2 linked regions of the Rhinolophus ferrumequinum genome follow. The protein of the gene in region 1 interacts with the protein of each later gene in a pairwise test. Links are inferred from orthologs where the notes say so. Each region holds a gene or a part of one and is shown in the gene's direction. Other genes may lie near its edges.

Region 1 (11,310 bases):
AAGAAACACTTTTTTGTTGTTGTTTTTTAAAAGAAGACCATCAAGAAAGACTGTTTTTCTAGAATTGTCCCTATTTATCTGGCTGCATATATTTGAAGAAATAATCTATACCTCAAATAATTCCACAGCCATAAAACAATAACTATACACCTACCAGGATGGCAAAGGAGAATAATGACAATACCAAATGCTGGCAAGGATGCTGAGAAACATTGCTGGTAGGAAAGTAAAATGTGTTGGCCGCTCCGGAAAACAGTTTGGCAGTTTCTTATAAAACTAAACATGTAATTTCCAATATGACTCAGCAGTTGCACTCTTGGGCATTTATCCCAGAGAAATGGGAAACTTATGTTCACATAAAACCTGTACACGAGTGTTCATAGTAGTTTGTTTGTAATGGCCAAAAATGAGTTAGCCCACGTGTCTTTCAAAGGGTGAATGGTTAAGCAAACTGTGATACATCCATACTATGGAATACTACTCAGTAATAAAAAGGAACAAACTCTCGATACATGTAACAACTTGGATGTTGAACTTGATGCAAGTAACAACTTGGATGATGAACTTGATACATGTAACAACTTGGATGATGAACTATTTGATATATATATAACAACTTGATGAACTTGATACATGTAACAACTTGGATGAATCTCCAGGGAATTACTCTGAGTGAGAAAACCTATCCCAAAAGATTACATTTTGTATGATTCCACCCATGTAACATTTTTTAACTGACAACATTTTAGAAATGGAGGACAGATTAGTGGTTGCCAGGTGTTGGGAGTGGGGCAAAAGGTGTGTTTATAAACATGATGGATCATCGTGTTGGAACTGTTCAGTATTTTGAGTGTGGTGGTGGATACTTCAACCTACACAGGTGTTAAGACTATAGAACTTAACACACATACCAGTACAAGTAAAACTGGGAAAATCTGAATTTTGTTGGATTGTATCAATGTCTGTATCCTAGTTGTGATACTATACAACGACTTTGCAGATTTTTACTATGGGGGGAACCGGGCGAAGTGTCCGAGGCTCCCTCTGTATTATTTTTTACAACTTGCACCTGAATCTACAATTATCTCAATAAAAATTTCAATTAAAAAACTCAAGTAATAAACCATACCAATGGTCATAGTATAGTAAGACTTGCATAGTGGTAATATTAAGTTTAGGTTGTAATTTAGAGGAAGATCCTGAAGTCTTCTGGGCATAAAAGAATAAATAAATGTGCTAATTAATCACAATTTTGTACATCCAATGGTTTGAAAAACTTGATGTTCAGGTGAAAAGCAAAAGAAGACGAGACCTAGATCTAGAAAAGACCTTAAAGGCTAACGTGATCTAGCCACTGGTCCCAGAGGCACCAGCTCAGGAACAACAATGTGCTCTCAAGAGGCATTTGTCAGCCATCCCCCCCCCCCCCCCCCCCCGCCAGGGACCTTCTGCACAACACCCCAAACAGATTTCCCCAGGGTCACAGCACCAGCAGGTTTCTGAGCAAAGACACACATTTTACATGTACTAACAGCTACCATTTACTGAGTGCCTGATGTAATAGACTGCTATATCTACATTCATGGTTTAATTTAAATCCATGGTTTCAGTTAAACGAAAGATTTAAATTAAATCCATGATTTATTTTAACTTGAGTTGAGAGGCATTATCTCCATTTTACGGATGAACAAAGTAAGGCTTGGAGAATTTAATTAACTTGCTCTGGCAATATGATGGAGCCAGGGTAGTATGGGTCTGTGTGGGTGACAGCTGCCCTCCTTTCAGCATACCCGTTGCTTTCAAAAGGGGCTACAACTGTGCTGGCTCCTAAACAAATACACTCAGGACATTCCCAGTGTAATTTGCTTGATCATTTCCTTTAGATTAGAACTTCTTAACCTAGGGGCTATGAGACCTTATGAGAGCCACAAGTTTCAGGAAATCATGTACGCACTGAAATCAGATACAAAATTTGGTGTGCATTTGCACATACGAGTTTTTCTGGGGAAAAGGTCCATTGTTTCCATCAGATTCTCCCGAGAGGTTTGGGACTCAAAAAACAGGTTAAGAATGACTGCAGTCAGATCCAAAGAGAGATTTTTTTTTTCACTGGAAAATGTTTCAAATGCCCAATAGCACTGACTCAGGGAAGTGATACATCTGGGGGAAATAAAATCAGCTGCCAAATTCTACATAGAAAGCAGGGTCAAAACTGCTCTTTTGTAAGGTCATTACAAAAAGGATACTTGAAGACACTCACTGAACTTCATCTCTGTCTCAGAATTGTTTGACATTTCCCAACTATTTGTTCCAGCTATCTTTAGAAGATAGTGTTTTCGATAAACGTGATGCAGGATGAGAGGATATCGAGGTACACCTTAAGTTCAATATACGGGCTGGCCCACAGCCTTAGCACAAAATCGTGCCTGATGATTGTTAAGTGGGCAAATATCTTTCATCATCTACCAATTTTTAATGGAGTGGGGTGTAAAGATGGAAGATAAAGCAGCTGCGTGACCGTGCTTACACTGAAATCCATTCATTTTCTTGCCTTTGCACAAGCTCTTCCATCTGTCTACAATGCCCTTCCCCACTTCTTTGCCCAAGAAACTGAAACACTGCCTTTAAGCCCTACATCAGGACTTCCATGATTCTTCTAAGATCTCCCCCATTTCTCTGATCCCAAGCAGACTTGTCCTGTAATCTACATTCTAGCTCTCTGTTCGCATTTCCATCATTGTGTGGTTGTCAGTTGTTTTCGTGTTTCACCCAGTCAGCTGAGCCTCTGAAATGCTATAGCTGTGACTTATTTGTGTTCCTTGCCCCTAGCCACATAATGGGTGGCCCGTGTTTGCTAATGAATAAAACATTAGCTTCCATTTAGGAAGGTGCTGCTTGTGTAGGCTGTGTTGAAAGACACTGTTAGGTGTATCTAGTTAAGTGACAATTTCTTATTAATGAGTAAACTAAATAACTTTTAGTAACTTCCACAAGTGACCTCCAGACTTGGGTGTTGAGGAAACAATCAAGCAAAGGAAGGTCCAGACGTCTAGGCAGGTAAGAAAACAGGTTAATAAATGAAAGGTTTTTTGGTCAGGAAAACAGCTGGGGATCAGAAGAATGGCCATAGAGATGTTTAGTCTGGTTTAGAAAAAAGAGACTAATTGAGTATGGGGAAAATGAAGACGGAGAAATACTGACTGGATGAAAGAGGAATGGGGATTACTTGGATCGTTAGAGACTAAATGGATTTTTTCTGACCCCGAGACTCACTCTCAGAGAAACAGAGCTGGATTCTGTATCTACTGCCCTGTTACTTAAACATAGCTTGTATTCTTGGATATTCCACTGGAATCATTGACAGTTTGAGCTGCAGTGGGGCAGAGAAATGACATAGGCCCGTCCTTCTATTTGATGAAGCTCAAAGAACCCTGGAGTCCAACCCAGGAGACTGCTTTCAGAGCTCAGGCAGAGGCAGACGTGTCAAGGGGCTCTAGGGAGAGGGCTCTACTTTGGACTGTGACTTCAGAAAAGGCCCAAGGCTGCAGGGGATGGCAGCCATGGCTCAGATCATGGTTTCCTTAGGACACAAACCAAATAAATGCATTCAAAGAGTTAGGTAGTTGGTCAAAAAACGAGTTTTGGGGAACAGCCCAGTGGCTCAGGTGGTTAGAGCTCCATGCTCCTAACTCCGAAGGCTGCCGGTTCGAGTCCCACATGGGCCAGTGGGCTCTCAACCACAAGGTTGCCAGTTCAATTCCTCGCGTCCAGCAAGGGATGGTGGGCTCTGCCCCCTGCAACTAAGGTTGAACACGGCACCTTGAGCTGAGCAGCCGCTGAATTCCCGGATGGTTCAGTTGGTTGGAGTGCGTCCTCTTAACCACAAGGTTGCTAGTTTGATTCCTCAACTCTCGCAAGGGATGGTGGGCTGCGCCCCCTGCAACTAGCAACAGCAACTGGACCTGGAGTTGAGCTGTGCCCTCCACAACTAAGACTGAAAGGACAACAACTTGAAGCTGAATGGCACCCTCCACAACTAAGACTGAAAGGACAACTTGACTTGGAAAAAAGTCCTGGAAGTACACACTGTTCCCCAATAAAGTCCTGTTCGCCTTCCCCAATTAAAAAAAAAAAAATGAGTTTGGTAAACTAACCCAGCTTTTCCGAAGAGCAAATTATTTCCCCTCTATAACAGGTTAAGAGAGGACTTGGTTTGTTGGAGAAAGCATCACGAACTTTCTAGTTCTACCCGGCAACTCTGGGAATGGAAATGTGAGCAGAAGGCAGGGAAACACAGGCTGTACAGCTGCTGTTTTGTTTGGTTAAATTCTATGCAGACTGGATAATAACAAACATCTCCCTCTCCACTTTATCCTTCTTTCGAATCTTGCACACTTTGTCCAAATGTGGCATTTCCTGTGATTCTGGCAACTTTGTTACAGGTCAATACAGAGCACTTGTACCAAACACATTTAGAGGACTTTGTCTCTTTGAGAAGTCACTCCCTTGAAATTGCATTATCTAAAAGCCCAAAATAAAATAAAATAAAATGAACTAAAATAAAATAAAACAAAACAGAGGGAGAGAAAATATTGCCTATTTGTAGAAGGTGCTTGGTGTAGTAACAGGCCACGGGTTCATGTAACCATCACTTCAATAACGATCAGGAGCGCGGAGCCTTGAGTCAGAAACCTGGAAAATCAATTCGGTTCTCTGAACCTCAGCGTCCGCATCTGCAAGTAGGTTTCCTCCCAGACTGTGTCGAAAACCGAAGGCGACCGTATGCGGGCCGCGCCGTCCCGCCCGCCCGCCTCGGGGCAACCCTGGCGCTGACTGCCAGCGGCCTCGTCTCCGCAACCCCGCAGCCCATTGCACCGGCCTCGGCTGCAGGGTTCCGGGGCGCGCTCCGACTCCGGGCCCCGACCGCCTCCTCGGGATCCCAGCGAAGTGGCCTCCGGCCTGGGGGGTGCAGGAAGCAGAGACCACAGGTTCCAGACCCCGCGCGCCCGAGGCTGGGCGGGCAATGCAGCCGCGCGGCGCGCCCCGCCTCTCCCGCGGGGACGCGCACGCACGCAGGCGCGGGGGCGCACGGCTCGGGCGCGCGCGCGGGGCCGGGCCGGCACGACGGCGGGAGCGCGCGCGGCTCCGGGAGGCGGCGGCGGCGGCGGAAGCGGCGAGGGCGGCGAGCGTCCGGCTCTGAGGTGGTGGAGGCGGCGGCTCCGGACTAGACTGGTCTGGGAGCAAGCGAGGGTCGGGGCGCCGGGTGGAGCGCCGATCCTCCGGCTCGACCATCCGCCCGCCGCCCGGACGCCTGGGCTGCGGAGTTTGTGTCCCGGCTCGGACCCCGGCGCCCAGCCCGGAGCCGTAACCTTGAGGAGGCGGCGGCGGCGGGGCTGGGCCGGGCCGGGCCGGGGGGCGGCGGCGCTGGATCCGCGGCTGCACGATCGTTGGCGGGAGATGTCGAACCCTGGGACGCGCAGGAACGGCTCCAGCATCAAGATCCGTCTGACAGGTACGGCGGGTGGGAGGCCCACACTGCCCCCCGCAGCGCCCACTGGCACCCCGCACGGCCCGGAATTTCCCGCGGAGCGCCCTGCTTAAGTGGCCCTCCCCCACGCCGGCCGTTGTCCCAGGACCTCATCACCCCCCTGGGCGAGTGCCCCTCGATTCTCCCTCCGGCCCCGCCCCCTCGCTTCTCCCCGGCCCCGCCCCCTCGGTTTTCATAGCCCCCCCCATCCGTCCTCTCGCTTCCCTCCTCCCTCCCACCTGCCCCCTCGCTGCTCCCCTCCATCCTCCTCGTTCTCCACCTTTTCCTCCCCCGTGTCCCCTTGCTTCTCCCCTCCTGACTCCTCCCCTCGCTTTCTTTCCTCTCCCCTCACCTGCCCCCTCGCTTTTCCCTCCTGGCCCCGCCCCTCTCTTCTCACCACCTTCCCATCCTCTCTGGCTTCCCGGTCTCTCCCCAGACCATCCCCCTCGCTTCTCCCTCCTGCCCGCTCCCACTTGTCACTCCTTTCCCATCCTCTCTCTTGGTTTCCCCTCTACCCTGTTGCCCCCTTGCTTCTCCCCTCCTGGCCCCGCCCCTTTCTTCTCCCCTAGTTTCGCCCCCTCACTTTCCTCCTGAACTCCGCCCCTCATTTTCTCCCTAGCCCCGCCCTCGCCTATCTCCCAGCCCCGCCCCCTTGCTTCTGTCTCGGGGCCTCCACCCTTTCCTTCAGCCTCGAATTCCTCAATCCTATCTTGTAGCTTCTCCCGGGTCTCTGCTCGCTTCCCCTCTGGTTCAGACCGTTTCAGTCTAGTCCACTTCCTTTCTCACCCTGGCCAGGCCACTATCTACTCTTGACTGTGCTTCTTGCATGCTTTCCTTTTCTGCATTGCACTTTACCATCGCCCCCCGCCCCCCATCCTTAAGCCTGGATTGGGCGTTGATTCCCCACACCCCCCACACACTGGAGGCTATGGTAGGTAGCTGCTCTAGCGCAGGCTCCTTGATTCACTCTCATTTAGTCTCAATGAAATGTGGGTGCCTTCTAGGTGGCTCTGTAGTGCCACCTTCAAGGGTGAGCGCGAAGCTCTGCTGTGGGCCTGCGACGTGGTGGTTTGGATGTGTGTAGGTGCCAGCGGTGTCTGGTGGAGGTGCCCCTCGCCAGCGGGCTCCAGAGGCCCTGGACCCGTCTGCACCCTCATCTGCCCTTTCTCTCTCTCTCTCTTCAGCATTATGGGGCGGCTGCTCGTCTCCCAGTTTCAATTCATAGCTGAGGCCAGATTGTCGTGTTGCAAATACTGTTCTACTGGGGGACTTTCCAAACGCGAATATTTCCAGCTCTGAAAAGGAAATAAAAAGTTCAGGCTAATCCCTGTAAGGGGTTTTCCCCAGGATTTTTCTGTTCAGTGGCAGTCTGGTGAGGACTCCAAAATCAGATCCCCTCTCAAAGAGACAGTGAGCGTTTTGGACACCTCATGGCAGATGCATAGCCCTAAATCATCAGTAAAATCCGTGAAAACAGCAATGGGTGATTCTTTTCTAACTAAAATTTCCTTTGAAAGTCCATAGTTGTTGCATGATCCATCTTTTGTTTCAAGAGGAGGGTTATAATTTGTTTTAGGTATATATAAAGATGTCAGATCAGGTTAAGATCAGATAATATAAGCGGATCAGATGATTCAGACCCAAAACCAGATCCTGGTTTTGGAAAGTAACAGGCCTATCCCATGGATCTTTACTTTTAGAGAAACATAACCCTTTATTCTGGTAGGAAACACTTCTCATTTTATAGATGCATATACATTGTTATTTTTATGGTTACATAAAAGCCACATTTTTAACTTTGCAATGCTTGTAAAACTTTAATTACTGACAACTTTAATTTGGCTTTCATTTACAAAGTAACCTATAATTGACATCGGATTTGTTTCAATTTTCTTGTTAAAAGCAAAAGTAACTGATTTTGTGAGTTTTGGTGGAAATGTGATTAATGTATTAGAAGGAATAGATTTTAATTACAATGTTTGTGTCAGGTGTATATGTATTAATCCTAATAGTCAGGTCTGGATAGGGCTTTTCCTCATGAAAGGGAAGACTTGGTTTGTTCTCTCAGATTATTTTTGGATTCAGGAATTTATATGTCATAGATGTAGAAATTCTTTAAAGAGTTTTAATGTCACTTGGTAGTGAAGGATCAGGTGATGAGTGTTCTTTCCGAAACACCTTTCCCTTTCTCCCACCTAATGTTATTGGTGATAAGAGAGGATCTGTGAGTATGGTCATCCCTGCAATAGAACTGAGAGTTTAGGGATGACTGCCGACACGCGTGATGCCAGTTGTCTGTTAATTTACGTGGAAACGTTGGAGCTCGATATTTTGTTGAAGACAGGCTAGGTTTTGGCTTCATCTTTATGTTGCCAGGGGGAGTTTGAAATATCTTCTTCACTTCTGGCAAGTTGGATGGACATCTTTCAAAAGTCGTATACTTTTGTTGTTACAGGTTTCAGAGTCTATTTCCACGTGTGATACTTGAACAAATGACGTGTAGAAATGAGAGCTATTCTAGCTAGTGAATAGCACACAGCGTAATTCAATGCAAAATATGAGGATATTAGAGTTAGAGCATTTAGAACTTTCGGGTCTAGAGTTGTATTTGGTGGTAAGTAGAACGTTGGATTGAGAATCAATTTTGGTCCGATCTGCCATAAACTGCATAATATGGAACAACTTATATAACCTTTCTGAGTCTCAGTTTCCTCATGTAAAATGAGATTTCAGCTCCTTTTATAGCATTCTTTAATTCTCCTCACAGGATCTATCAATTTGGCTTATTCCAAATTACTGTTGGGTGCTTGTACTTTCTATTAGGGCTCGATCCTGATATTCAGAAATTTGTGTTAAAACACAGGAGTCATGTTTGATGCCAAGCATTACTTTTGTGTATTGATTACATTTATGATTTCTTTTTTTTTTCCTTCCTGTGGAACCCCGTTGTTTTTTTTTTAAAAAAAATATGCTGAACTGCTTTGGAAACCTGGCCTAAACAAAAGAATATTTGAGTCTTTATATGTAAAAGAATATAATTTTAATGAACGTCTGTGGTTTTTTAGCAGGATAATAGTTCGTAAAGTTTTCGGTAGGTTTGGGGGCATAATATGTTTAAAGTCGAGTGATCTTTATTAAAGAGCATTATCTTGCAGACATTTTAGAGTTCACTGGCAAATCAAACACTTGGGAAACATTTTCATTTTAAATTCAAGCAGGATTTGCAAAAACTTTGTTCTTATGAGGTACACAAATGAATCCCAGATATGTTATTTAGGCCACTTTGGGTAAAAGAATGGAATTTTGAGCTCTAAGTGTTCCACAGTGCTCTTCAAATTAAATTTTATTCTAATGTTAACCAGTTAGTTGAAACACCAAATGACTAAACTTTTTTGTGCTTTTATGCCTTGAAATACTCTCAGACCTCCTTGTGTTTTTATATGTTTTGGAGCATGACTATGTATTGTGAAGAGAGAAGAATTCTAATTCCAAGTGGGGGGTGGGGTGGGAAGAGACCTTCCGTGGTAGCATTTGGGAATGGAGGCTGTTTTTAAAGTTGTAGCACATATGATGTGAGGCTGACTTGTGTTCTGACATTCAGATGATGCAACTTGGAGAGAAATAGTCGTAGTAATAACTGTTAATAAGTTTCATTGATCAGTAACAGGTGACCTAATTGATTCAAAATAGTTATGTTTCTCTTAAAAAAGATAAATCTATTAAGAGTGTTGCCTTTGTCAGTTTCTCCTAGTAAAGAACCTCCCTATGTAAGGCAGGAGAAACTTTTACCAACTAACTCAGATAAGATGGAGTTTCATGTGCTACGCATGAGTTTGTGTGTTTTCCTCAGGGTTGGCCTCAAGTTTATGAGGTACTGTCGAGACACTTCTTTGAGCTGAATTATCTAAGGATGTGGGATGGGTTCAATCAAATACTACTACAAAACTTAAACTACAATTATACTTTAAAAGGAGTCATATACTGCCAAATACAGGTTCTATTATTGATTTCATTTGTGATTTGATCACATTTGTGTTGTCTTTAGAAAACCCTTTTTTAAAAATCCATTTTCATTCTTTTTACTTTTCTTGACTCACCTAACAGATTTGAGAAATGAAATATATACTTTACTTCTGTCTGTATTTTTACGGTAGTTCTAATTTATCAAATTACAATTTTTAACTTCAAGTCTATTTATTTGTCAAAGTTCAAAACTCCTATTTTTGCGACCATCAGAGTGGTGTCTGGACTTCGAGGTTTTCCTTCTCTTACAAATTTTCATTTTTTCTGTTTGGTCATCTTGTCAGGTTCTATCTAGTGTGGAACATCGGGTAACCCAGGGAGGTTCTGGGGGCTGAGTTACTTCTTCAAAATGTATTTCCTCATGAATAATAATAATAAAAGACTCACCCATAATATTTCAACATCAGCTCAATGATCCAGTTAACTAGGCTGGTTGTTGTGTAACACATTTGTGGGCACTGGTTAAAAGTTAAAATAGCTGACTTGTGCATTTTAGTGAGTGCTGAAAGGGACGTTCAAAAGACCTTCCGAAATGGATGAAATAATTTGGTATTTTCTAGTTGAGAAACCCTAACTTTTAGGATTCTTATTTGGATCAAATTTCAAAACCATTTTAGAGGTTAAATATTTTTCAACAAATAGAGAATGAAAAAAATGTGTGTTTTGAGGTCACTGAACAACTTAAATTACTGGTTTGCTTGTTGTAGATGAATTTTATTGAGAGAAACCCCAAACTTAAATTGGCTTCTTGTCCACGACACTCTGACTCCAGTTGACCAGTCCCTAAGGCCACTCGAGTCAAAGAAGAGCTGCTGGGCTGTGTTGGCAAAACAAAAGCCTCTCACCATGTGGATCAGGCAAATCTTCTTCTTTAAAATGTTGGAATTACTGTTGTGTCTACAGATGCAGTTTACTCCATTTAGATATTTAAACTAAGTGGAATGTTGTTTCTGTATTTCTGGATTAAAGGGGAAAAAAATCTCTGCATTGTTTTCCAACAAGGCTTAAATAATGTACAATCAGTGCTGCTGGGGATGCGCCCCACTCGGTACTTCCAGCTGTGTTCACCTCCATTGCAGCTGAAAGGAATTCTAATTGGCTGAGGAATGTCAGCAACATCATGTATCACCGAGCGTGAACCTATTATGCCGGCTGCTGGGTGATGCATTTCAGATGTTTGAAACTCCTGAGTCCAACTTGGAGGTTGCTTTCGGGAGGCTGGAAGAGAACATTGTGAAGCTGAGGGCTGTAGACAGCAGCCTGCTTTCTTCCTCGTGTGTTTGGGCATCGCTGAATTCTCCAAAGGCCACGGTGCTTTCTTGTGGCTTAAACACTGGATTGGGAATCAGAAAGTCTGAATTCTGCTTCTAACTCAGAAAAGTGCCACAATGAAGAAATGGGGTGGGTGGAATTACAATCTTTTCATGACTCAGTTTTTCTATCACTAATGCAAGATAAGTTTGAATTATTTATAGAGTAGCACAAGGTAAATCCAGAGTCCTAGATTCCTGTTACTTCTTATTCCATGTAAATGCTAACGCTGATGATGCACTTTGACACTGAAGAAAAACTACAGAATCTACTGGTAAACATGGGAAAATAATCCTCAGGAACGAATTGGTAAATTCTCTATGCATTCAGAAAGTTCCTTAGAGAAATAGTGTTACAAGCCAAAGCCAGCATCATCCTTAATTAGGAAACCTTGGAAGCATTCCATTAAAATCAGGGACAATACAGGGATGTACACTGTCACAGTTGTT
Region 2 (11,451 bases), on another chromosome or scaffold:
ATGGATAACAATTATCTGTGATCACAGTAAGCTTCCTGAGTACTCCATATTTCTGACAATTGTCAAAAACAATCTCTCTTTTGCTAACCTGTCCAAATTGCTCCCACAAATATCAAAAGTGCTTTGCTTCCCCCCAGCTTTCTCTGCCAGTTTGCATGTCAACACGTAGCTATGTTATTCTGATCACTGCTGCTAAGCCAAGCAGGCGTCTGGAAAGTTTGGGGGAGGTTTTGAACTGGGTGATTTTCAGCTCCTTGTGACACTTCCTAAGTGCTGTATACCTGAGCTTTCTTCTATTGTTTCCCTCTAAAGTGTACAAGAAGTTCCCTCTCCCACCACCTCTGGGTTTTGTCAGGAAGTCAGGATTGAAAGCACATTACTTCAGAAGGGAGGGAGGAAAGGCCGCACCCCCACCCACCACCTGAAGGCACAGGAGATTTGAGGAGCCCTGGGGGTGTTTGTGTAAAAGAGGACTTCAGTGTCACAATTCTTTTCAGAGCCACCTGAATCCCCAGCTCGGTAAGCTGGTTGGGTTTTAGACATGGGTCTGTGGGTGGTGTGGCATAGCAGCAGGGACCAAGAACAGTCCGATGAAAGCGGTGTCACAGCATGACCCCGGGCACATCCTTAACCTCTCAGAGCCGCTGACGCCCCACCTGTAACTTGGGGATAACGTGCCTCCCAGAGTCGTTGTGGGGATCTAATGAGCCACCAAGGGTAGTGACCGTTCAGTAAACAGTGGAGGTGGTTGCTGGTGTGATGGAGGGAACCAGCATCCACTAGTCCCACTGTGCGCTGGCACTGTGCTGGCCTCCTCCCCATCCGCAGCTCACAGACCTGCCCAACCACCCATAGGGGACAGGGCTATGCTGCGGTGACCCTCAGAGAGTCCCTGAGCCGCCTCAGCCAGACTTCCCTGACGGCCCCCAGCCATGCTCAGGTATCGGGTGTGAGGTCAGCACCTCCTCGGTGCTTCAGCAGGTGATGAGGAAATAAACGGTGGTCCAGCCACACAGTAGAAAGTCACGGCACGAACGCGAGATGAGCTAGCAAGGCGTGGAAAGACCTGGAGGAATAGATGGAGCACAAGGGATGTTTAGGGCAGTGACACGACTCTGTGGGATGCGTGTCATTACACACTTGTCCAAACCCACAGAATGCACACCGAGAGTGAACCCTCGTGTAAACTATGGACTCTGGCTGATAACGATGTGTCCATGGAGGTTCATTAATTGTAGCAAGTGTACCATCTGGGGGGGGGGGTGTTGGTAGTGGGAAGGGGGGCAGGGGGGACGTGGGAAATTGGGGGGCAGGGGGTACGTGGGAAATCTCTGTACTTTCTGCTCAGTTTTGCTGTGAACCAAAAATTGCTCTAGGAAATAAAGTCTATTAAAATAAGAAAAAGGAGGAGGAAGAAGAGGAGAGGGAGGAGGAGAGGAGAAAAAAGTGAAGTCAGCACTTCCTCCAGGGAGCCTTCCCCGACTACAGAAGCCAGTGGCAATTTCTCCCCCTGCCAGGAACCTGCAGGCTGGCATGGCTTCTCCATGGTTATGCCATTCCTGCTCCCTACCAGGTGGCTGGTGTTTCCAGCCTCTGAACCAAATTAGCCATTAGCCCCTCCAGGGCAAGGATGGGTGTTTCCATCTCTTGCCGTGGTACCTAGGGAGGCCAGTGAGGGAGAGCACAGTAGGTGTTTTAGTGAACATTTTTCCTGCACCCTGTTGATGACTGACATTTATAAGATAGACATGGCATCAAATGACAGATATGCAGTGTTGAACAATGGACATGCTCAGCAAATGTCACTGTGTCCAGCCCTGGTGACACAGAACCCTGTGGCCTGTTGGCCAAGCCATCAGTGGCTCCTGTTGCAACTTGGCTGGGCTAAGGGTCTCCAGATAGCTGGTAAAGCATTACTTCTGAGTGTGTGAGGGTGTCTCCAAGAGAGATTAGCATTTGAGTCAGGACTGAGTAGTCGGGATGGCTCTCCCCAAAGTGGAGACATCATCCAGTCCCTGCAGGGCTGAATAGAACCAAAAAGCCAGAAGGCAAGTGTGTTCTTTGCTTGAACTGGGGGATCCATCCCCTCCCGCCCTTGGACGTCGGTGCCCCTGGGTCTCGGGCCTTCGCACTAGGACCGGGCTGCATCACCAGCTGTCCTGTGCCTCCAGCTGACAGATGGCAGATCATGGCCTTCTCGGTCTCCATGATTATATCAGCCTCTTCCTCACAATCAGTCTCATTCTGTAGCTCTCCCAATGTCCCATTGGTTATGTTTCTCTGGAGAACCCCCACTAATGACAAGTGACTAGTGTCAGTGGGTGGTTGGGGACACGGGGGAGGTCAGAACAGTGGCTGTCCCCTGTGTGGGCATTTGTCCTTCTGCCTCAGAGTCACCTTCACACCCTCAATGTTCTCTTTCCCCATAAGAAACTTCCAGATATACTTGGTGACTCATCGCAAGACCCTGAAGTAGCATTAATTTTGTGCCTTCAGAGATGCGTACGTGACCACTCAGCCTCATGGAGGGGCTCAGAGCTCCTCAGCAGGAATGCAGTGTGTGTGGGTGCACATGTGGGGGTGTGGAGATACAGGCGGGCTTGGGTGAGTGGAGCAGAGATGCCGCTGATGTGGCACCCAGCCCTGGTGACACAGAGCCGTGTGACCGCACCGAGGCCTCCGTTAGAACTCCAGCCACTTCTGTTGCAATTCCAAGAAGATGGCAGAGTGGGCTGTGAGCTCAGGTTTATGAAGGAACACAGGAAAGGAGGGGGGAGCCACTGGCAGAGGGCGGGGGAGGAAGATAGAAGGAGCATGAGTAAACCGGTATGTATTAATGTATTCATCCCCGTTAATGTATTAAAAGTAAATGGAAACGATGGCCTCCAGCCACCACCCCAGGATTTTCCTTTCTCACGCTCCCACCCGCAGGCACTAAAGCAGAACCTTGCACTTCCTCCTTCTCCCTTCAACCAGATGTGATCTTAGAATGTTCTGACTTGTCCACTCAACTCCTGGGTTTGCTAAGATGGATTCTGTTTTTTTACTTCCAGGTGAATACAGGTTCCCCGTACAGTACGTGGTGTATATTTCAAGAATCCTTACTTAGCAATTACTGTACAAAATCCCAGGCGTATTTAGATTAAACCACGTATTTTGCAAGGGTCACTTCTCACCACCATTTCCTGTGCTCCACATCTGCTCTATCTCGAGATCTCCACTGTGATTGAACTATCTTGGTGAGACTGGAACTTCCGTGGGTGAAAGGGAACGAGGCCGGGGCCCTTTCTGCATCTTGCCATGTCAATATGTTCTTTCTTTTGCTCTGATACATGAGTTCCATCGTAGTGGGGAAAGGCCCTTTGATCAGATTGTCAGAGTCCCTGGACGTGGTTGCAAAGGCTCCTAGAAATCTGGTTCCTCTCTGATTCCTGCCTTTATACGTGACTGGTTCTTTCTGGAACTCTGCAAGCCTCTCCTTATCCTTGGAGTCGGAGACTTCACAGGATAGTTTCAGGTCACAGGTATTTTCTTCTAGTATTTCTTTTATTTCTGTTCCCCTCCAGGTCCTTTGGAGCTCTGCACTCTGTGCCTCCTGGAACTGTCCTGCAAGCCTCGCATTTTCTTCCTGACGATTTTCGTGGATTTTTTCCTCCACGTTATCTTCCAGTTTTGTCATTTTCCTTGCCTGACAGTTCTTCTTCTGAATTTGCTCAGGACTTTTAAAAATTTTTAGTTCTGTGGAGTGTGTTAAATGTGTCTACGATCTGACTGAGGCTCCTGAAGCAGTCTCGTACATTTTTATTAAAGTTCATTTTTCTCTTTCCTTAGCCCTCCCCAGGAGAAATTGTTCAATCTGTCCGCTTCCCTCTGCTTATTGAGTACCCTGAAAAGGTTTGGGGAGCATCGTGGCCTCTCTGTCATGTGTGTTTAGGCTGTAAAGACAAGGCCATCGTGGTCTCCTGGGCTAAATGCTGCAGGAGGAGATTTCTCTGCTTGTAGCCTCACAGATGTGAGGACGGTGGCTGGTTCCCAGGGATGGTCTGTCGCAGAAGCCATTCAGGTAGGCCCAGTCCTCCAAGTTGAAGGAGGATGGGCCATAATGGTGGGCAGGTTGGAAATACAAGAAACTCATCTAGTTGGTTTTCAAAGAGCCTCTAAGTTCCCAATAGACAAATGAGAGAGCAGATGCTTCTCAAAAATAACAAACAGGAAATGTACAACCTCATTAGTGACCATGGAAATGAAAATTACAATAGCAGAAAGATGATTTTTCAGTTATATTAGAAAAGGGTTTTTTGTTTTTTTGTTTGTTTTGTTTTGTTTTTTAAGGTAATTCCCCATACCCCTCAGAGGTGAACTGGAAACAACTTGGAGAACCTTGCTTTGGCAAAATGTATCTTTAGATCTGAAAAAGCCTGTCAGGATCCAATGCTTCCATTTCTAGGACTTGACCTCACAAGTACACGTTTAGATCGTGGTGACTTTGTCCTGATGAAATAGTCACACATGTACACAATACACACACAGTGTAATCACAGCGACTTTTGGAAACCCTTTCTTAAATATGCAGAAACCCCAAAAAGTGAACAGTAATAGTCTTTGAGTAATTTTTTCTTGTTTCTACTTTTTGTAATTATCCAAATTTTCTGTAATGAGTATAAGGTTTGGAAAGAATTCTGTGTGACTTTGTGCAAATAACTGTCTATGTCTGAACTTCAATTTTCTCATCAATAAAAATGAGCCAAGGCCACCTGCCTCACTGGGTTGTTCGGGGTGAAATGAAAACCCTCGATGTGTGGGAGCCCCCCACACTGAACCTGGGACAGGGCAGCATGCTGGTCAGTACTGGTTTCCTTCCTTCCTCTGTGAGCCTCACCGTGTTAGATAAGAAGATAGGAGGGGGTGAGGTGGAGAATTAAATGAGGTGATTAATGTAAACTGTGCAGCTTTGATTAAAGTCCCGGGGTCATGTGTTCAGTGGATGGAACTCATCTCCAAAATCATCTGGAATCTTTGCTCCCAACATGCTGGTAACATATCTCTGGCAACCACTCTGAGCCTCAGTTTCTGCAGTGATAACACAGGACAGGTATCACAGGATGGTTATGAGGACCACACATGGAGCAGACACAGCCCAGGGGCCCCGGTGACATTGGCAAGGGCCCCACAGTCTGGGGGATAGACCTTTGCCTTCATCTCCAAACCACAGCTCTCAGACTCTGGACAAGGCCAAAGAAGAGGGTTTGCAAACTGCCTGAGCCTTGTGTCACTCCCTGGGCTAATACACAGTCCTAAACGCATCCCACAATCACCTTGTGAAAAGTGTGCTACGTTCATTTGATTTCGTGCATTTAAAGCAGCATTGGCTACATGTACACTTTTAAATGGGCCACAGTTTTCTGTCTCTGCTGTTGTATCCGGGAGCCAGCTCTCACTGGCCACGCTGGAATTCAGGCACCTGGCGCATAGTACGCGCTCAATCTGTTACTACTGCAATAGCAAGTATAATGACTCTGCAGTCGGGGGCCAGAGTGGTGGGTAGAAGGTGGCCCGAGTTTTGTCCAAGGGTCCAACCACCTGTTACAGAGACCATACGTCTCGCGAAGGAACACGAAGCCTGCTGGCCGGGTCAGGGCCGGGCCTTGGCCAGCCCAACGGGGCGGGGCCGGGCCATGATGGGGCGGGGCTGGGGTCCGAGTCCGCTCAGAAACTTTCCCTGTTGGACCCGCCCCTCCGGCGCCCTCTGCCCGGCGGCGCCCGGGAAATGTCGGCGGCAGCCTGGCGAGGCGCGCCGTGATTGGCGGAGGTGCACAGTGATTGGCAGGCGTGCTGGCCGCTCAGTGGGCAGAGCCGGCGCCGCGTACTCCGGGCCGAGTCTGTGGGCCTCACTCGCCGGCTCCAGCTACAGCCAGCGTCTCCCTCTTGTCCCGCTTCCCTTCCGCCCCGGCGAATCCTTCTCCTCCAGAGCAACTTTGCGGCGATCCGGGAGGCCCGAGGGCGTGCGGCCCGCTCAGAGGCGAGTGAGTACTTAGGGACAGGGGACGGCCGTGCGGGGGACGGGAAAGAGTCCCGGGAGCGCCGGGAGGCGCCGCCCGCCTCGGGCCTCAGTTTCCCCATATGAGCGGATGAGCAGCTCGTCCCAACGCCCCATCCCACCCTGAAAGTTCCCCAGAAGTTGGAGGGCCAGGATCCCGCCCGCTCCGCGACCTCACGGTGACCGATATCTGGATGGGGTCTTCCTCGGGGGTGAGCGCCCCCTCGGCTCCAGAGCCCTGGGGCACTCGCGCCCCGACCACTGTTAACACTCGTGAGTCTCTCCACGAAACCCCCTTGCGGGTGGAAAACAGACCCGACAGGAAGGCGGCTTGTGGCGCGAGGGGCCCGGTGTGTGGCAAGGGGCGCCCCCTCCTCATAGCAACGGTCCCGAGTTGCCCCGTCATGGCCCTTCCCCCGCGGCTCTCGGCGGGACCCAGGGCCGCCCTCAGTGCCTGCTGGAAGGCGCCTGGGCCCCCAGGTGGGGGCTGGTGGGTAATGGGGGTTCAGTCGCCCAGTGGGGACCAGGCTCGCCTGAGTGGCAGCCTCTGGATCAGGCTGCAGAGCTCGCAGCCCACTTAGAATCTGTGTGGCAGTAACCTTCCCCCTGGGGCTCCTCCTGGGGGGTGGGGGATTGGGGGTAATGGCAGCCCCTACACCCTGGCTGATGTAAACCTGGGCCCTCGGGAACGTTAATTTCTGTTTTGACAGATGGAATTTTTCTGGGGAATCTGACCCACCCCTTTTGGGCGTGATGGGGCGTCCTCCACCTATTTTTGGTAGTTGATGTTAAGAAATTCCAAGGAATTAACATTTGTGCGATATTTAATCCTTTTAGTCGCCTTTGGGGTAGGAATTGTCACCCCATTTCACATGAGGAAGATGAGGCATGCTGGGGTTTGGTGACCTGCGCAGGCAAGCAGCAGCCCCACCTCTCCTTACCTTGGACAGTGACCCTTGGCGTTCAGCCCATTTATAAAGGGCTTTCCCTTCTGCAGGGATCCATCACTGCCCTGGGCGCTGGCCGCCTGACCTCCCGGCAGCCCCGGGGGGGGGGGGGGGGGGGGGGAGCTGTGCTGGAAGCCCAGAAGCCACACTTGCCAGTGTCCCCTCCTGTGATTCTCATGAGAGACCCTCAGCGTCTGACCAGGGATTTTGATAGAGGTTCTTTTGTGCCGATGGACCTTTGACTGCACACAGAAAAGGTTGCTGGGAGACCACACCTCACCTTCCTTCCCAGGATGGAAGAGTATGTGGCCGGGCTCCCCTCTCAGGCCTCCACCGCCCCTTGCAGGCCTTACGGACTGGTCACAGAGGGGAACCCCCCAGTCCTGGCACACCGGAATGCCTGTGCTGCAGGACAGAGGACAGAGAGCAAGCCCTGGTCCCCGACGGTGTCCATAAAACACACCCTCATGGAGAAGGAATTTTATGCTTTGTACGAGTCCCTCTCCTCTCCCACGTGCCCACCTCAGAAAGTGGCACCACCACCATGGCCCCTAGCAAACCCAGCCACCCTCTTCTTCCCCACTCCTCATAGTCCGTTGGTGACGCTCCTGTCCCTCCTGGCTCCAGAGCTGTGTTCACATGCCTGCGCTGGCCAGGCCTCCCCTTTCCCTGGATGGCCACCCAGCCCCTTCCGTGGTCCCCCGTCATGTCCCCACACAGCCCTGATGGTTCTTTAACTGCCATTTCCCTGTGTACCACCATCCTGCACCTCCTTTTGGTGCTAAGCCTGCACTGGTTCAGGCCCTCGGGACCTGCCCCCGACACCACTCAGCCTCTTTTCTCATTGCTGTGTCCCCTCCCTCGAGGTCACTTCTTCGCCTCCTGCTCCTTGCTGGCCCCACTGCTGGCTCCATCTCCCTCTGCTGCCATTTCTCTGGGGCAGTCCCTGCTGGAATGCCTACACACCTCCTTTCCTCCCTGTCCACCCTCGCCTGGCTCTAACCTTCTGCTCCTGAAGGCTTAGTCAGGCCTTTCTTCCAGAATCCTTCCCCTGCCCCTTTCCCACAGCTCAGCGAGGAGGCCTCCGTTCTGTGCTTGCAGCCTCAGGTCTGTCCGGGTGTTGTTCTTCCCATCCAGACTGAGTTCTCAAAGGCTGGCCCTAGGAGTCCCCTGTGGGCAGGGAGGTCCTGCACAGAGCAGGTGCCAGGTGTACAGTGGGAGCTCGGCCACTGGGGAGACACTGGCTGGCCATGATCAATGCCTGGGGCATTCCCAACTTGACTCGCGCTTTGTTCCTGTGAACTTGGCACTTGGGGAGAGCCAGAATGTTCCTCAGTCTGGCCGTTAATACTCTGGGGCAAAAATAGGTACCTGGGAGCCTCCAAGGTCCTTGTGCCCTTGTCTTGAGGAGCAGCCCTTGGGAACCCCTGGGCCTGCTCCCTTAGGGATTGGTCACAGATGGCTTTTTAACATTTTGTTGTAATTCCAAGAACCTTGCACATTCATTATAGAAAATTAGGGAAATACATTTAGAAAAGGAATAAAATAAAACCACCCGTCCCTCTACCCAGAGATAGTCAGTATTACCATTTTGGAGCCATTTTCTTCCATCTCTTTCTGCAGTTAAACTTTGTTTTCATCCCAAATAGATTGGAGCTAATATGTCATGCTGCTTTAAACCCTGCTTACCAGTGTTACACACACAGTTTCCTTGTCTTTAAACATTCATACGCAAGCTCACGGTTAACAGCTGTATAGTGTAGCACCACCATGTGGGGGGACAGTAGCAGTCATAACTGCCCTCTCCGGACGGTCGGTGCTGGAAAGGACAGCTGTGACGGACTCCAGGAAGAGGCCTCTGCAAGAGACAGGTGTGGCGGTCAGCAGTTGCACGTGGACGTGGAGGGACAGCACGTTTTGGGAGTGAGTGGGCCAGGGACGAGGAGGTGTAGTGGGGGTCGGGTTGCAGAGGCCTGCGGGGCCCCGTCCTTGAGAGACTCCTTTTTCAGGAACTCACGGGGTTTTTATGGATTGGAATTCCAGCTCCTACACGGAGCTGTGTGGCCTTGAGCATGAATCTCTCCTTCCTGGTCCAGGGTTTCCTTGTCTGTGAAATGGAGTGAAAGATAAGCCAGCTACAACACCAGGATAATACTACCTACCTGGCAAGCCAAATGCGGAACCCCGGGAAAATCTGTGGGAAGTGCTGGGAACATGTTTGTCCTCGTTATGAGTGACCTAGGCGCTCTGGCCTAAGTCAGCCCCCATTCAGGCAAGCTGCCCTCTGCCATTCCAGGAAGGTGGCACTTGAGTCTGGGGGCAGTGGGAGCCACTGGAGATGGCAAGGTAGGATGGGGCCCCCATGGTTCGAAGTCCTGCCTTTTTTTGCCATCTCAGGTTGGCCGCTGACTTGCCTGTGCCCGGGTGGCGTATGCCAAGTCACTGCTGACTTCTTGCCCACAGCGGCTGTGTGCTCACTTTCATCTTCACGCAGCTAAAGAGGAGTTTTGCAGAAGTGGCCTGTTTGTTTGGTTCCCAGAAGCCTGGAGTTTGGAAGCAGCACCGAGCACTGCTTTGATTTCCAGGCAGTCACGTGACTGGGCTGTGCTTTTGTTTTGCACCCGGGGGGGCTCAGTCCCTCTGAGGAAGGAACGTCCAGATTGAAATCTCCAGTGTTCTTTGGGACACAGCTCAGATGTTTGAGACCCACTTGTAGCTGGCGACAGGATAGACGTAGTTGGGTACTCCTGGAACTCATGTCTGGTGCCTGGGGCCACCTCCCTCTTCCTGTGACAGCAGTCGTCAGAAACGTGTGTCAGGCACCTACCCCATCCAGCAGGCTGGGTGCGTGGAGCTGGGTGTGCGTAGATGTCTGGGACCCTCACCCCTCTCATGCCCCTCGTGGTCTCTAGTCCTCACAGTGCCCCCGAGTGTGGGGCAATTGTCCCGATTTTCAGTTGAGGAGACTGGGGTGCAGAGAGGGCCATGACCTACTCAGGACCACACAGCTGGTGGGGACAGAGCCACGGGCAGGGTCTGTCAGGTTAGGTTTGGGACCAGCCTCTCCCTGCTCTCACTCAGTGTCCCCGTCTCATTGAGGAGGAAGGACGTGGCCTTGAGTCTGGAGAGAGTCACGGGATCCTTTAGGAATCCGAGGAAGAGCCTCACAGCATCCCCACACAGGGCACACGTGGTCCCGACAATGTCGGGGGCTTGTGTCCCCCGAAGCCCAACCGCACTCAGGTTCAGCTTTCAGCCCAGAGCCTGCGACCGTGGCTGCCCTACTGCGTCAGTGGGTTGTTAAACAGCACGTACAGCCCCTTTGTTGGCGAATGGAGCCCTTTCCCCTGGTCATGAGACGGTCAGAGAACCTGCATGCTCTAGCCTGTTCCCGCCTCTGTCCCGAGACACCAGTACACGGTTACATCGCTGCTTTTCGGTTCTAGTATCTGGTAACATTCGCCTTCTGAGCTTTGGTCCTGTGGTTCCAGCCCGGTGTGGAGGGCTTTGGAATTGGGCAGATCTGACTACATCCGGCCCCCACCACTGTGGTCGTCCCCTTCTGCTCCGTCTGGGGGGTTCCGGGGGTACGCCCTCCCTGGCCTCTCTCCAGCTTCTGGTGTCTGGTGGTCCTTGGGTTGTAGCTACCGCCCTCTAGTCTCTGCCTTCGTTCCGCCTTCTCCTCTCTGGGTCTCTGTGTGTCTCCCTCCTCTTTTAAGGACACCAGTGACCTAACCCAGGATGATCTCATTTCAAGATCTTGAATTACATCAGCAAAGCCCCCCTTTTCCAAATCAGGTCACCCTCCAGATTTGGGGTAGACTTGCCATGTGGAGGCCGCCACGCAGCCCGGCACAGCCAGGCAGGGTGCTCAGGGCTCTGCATGTGCGACACCTTGCTGACCCTCACTGCAGCCCGTCCTCCCCGCTGCTCAGATAAGAGGCAGGGACTCGAGGCCTCAGACGTGACGGCCCGAGCTGCTGCCTGCTGGGCCTGCTGAGCCGGATGGCCCTGAATGCGATTCCCCCCTCGATTTCCGTCTGTAACATGGGGAAGAAATTGCGGGCGCTGCTGTGAGGTTGAATGAGATCACACAGAGAATGCTGGGCAGCCCCCGCCCTGTTGCGCTTTGCAGTCCCCTCGCCTTCCCAAAAACTAGAGGCCAAGCAGGCGGGCTTGGCCGGGGCTGGGGCGTCTGACCGGCAGCTTTTCTCACCGCAGGATGGACTCCAGCGCGCCTTCTGCGAGCACACAGCCTCCACCACCACCGCAGCCCCAAGCCCGCTCCCGGCTCAACGCCACTGCCTCCCTGGAGCAGGAGAAGAGTGGGGCACCCCAAGCTCCCGGACCCCACGTTGGACCTGGAGCAGACGTGGGAGACACAGCTGCCCCAGCGGTGCCCCAGGCCCCACGTGCCAGAAGCCGAGAAAGAGTGGATGGAACGGGTAAGGGGACAGGGCCTGGGGG

What was found.
Region 2: the proteins of SMURF1 (region 1) and WFS1 interact in binary tests that used the Homo sapiens proteins (3 or more experiments, as listed by UniProt). The link is inferred for Rhinolophus ferrumequinum from reciprocal best matches to the Homo sapiens genes SMURF1 and WFS1.

Annotation. Positions count from the first base shown.
Region 1 is NC_046307.1:6,350,026-6,361,335, reverse strand, and holds the start of SMURF1 (E3 ubiquitin-protein ligase SMURF1), read left to right. Parts: upstream 1-5,390; 5' UTR 5,391-5,457; coding exon 5,458-5,512; intron 5,513-11,310. UniProt on the Homo sapiens protein: E3 ubiquitin-protein ligase that acts as a negative regulator of BMP signaling pathway. Mediates ubiquitination and degradation of SMAD1 and SMAD5, 2 receptor-regulated SMADs specific for the BMP pathway.
Region 2 is NC_046288.1:84,123,730-84,135,180, forward strand, and holds the start of WFS1 (wolframin), read left to right. Parts: upstream 1-5,861; 5' UTR 5,862-6,023; intron 6,024-11,205; 5' UTR 11,206-11,206; coding exon 11,207-11,429; intron 11,430-11,451. UniProt on the Homo sapiens protein: Participates in the regulation of cellular Ca(2+) homeostasis, at least partly, by modulating the filling state of the endoplasmic reticulum Ca(2+) store.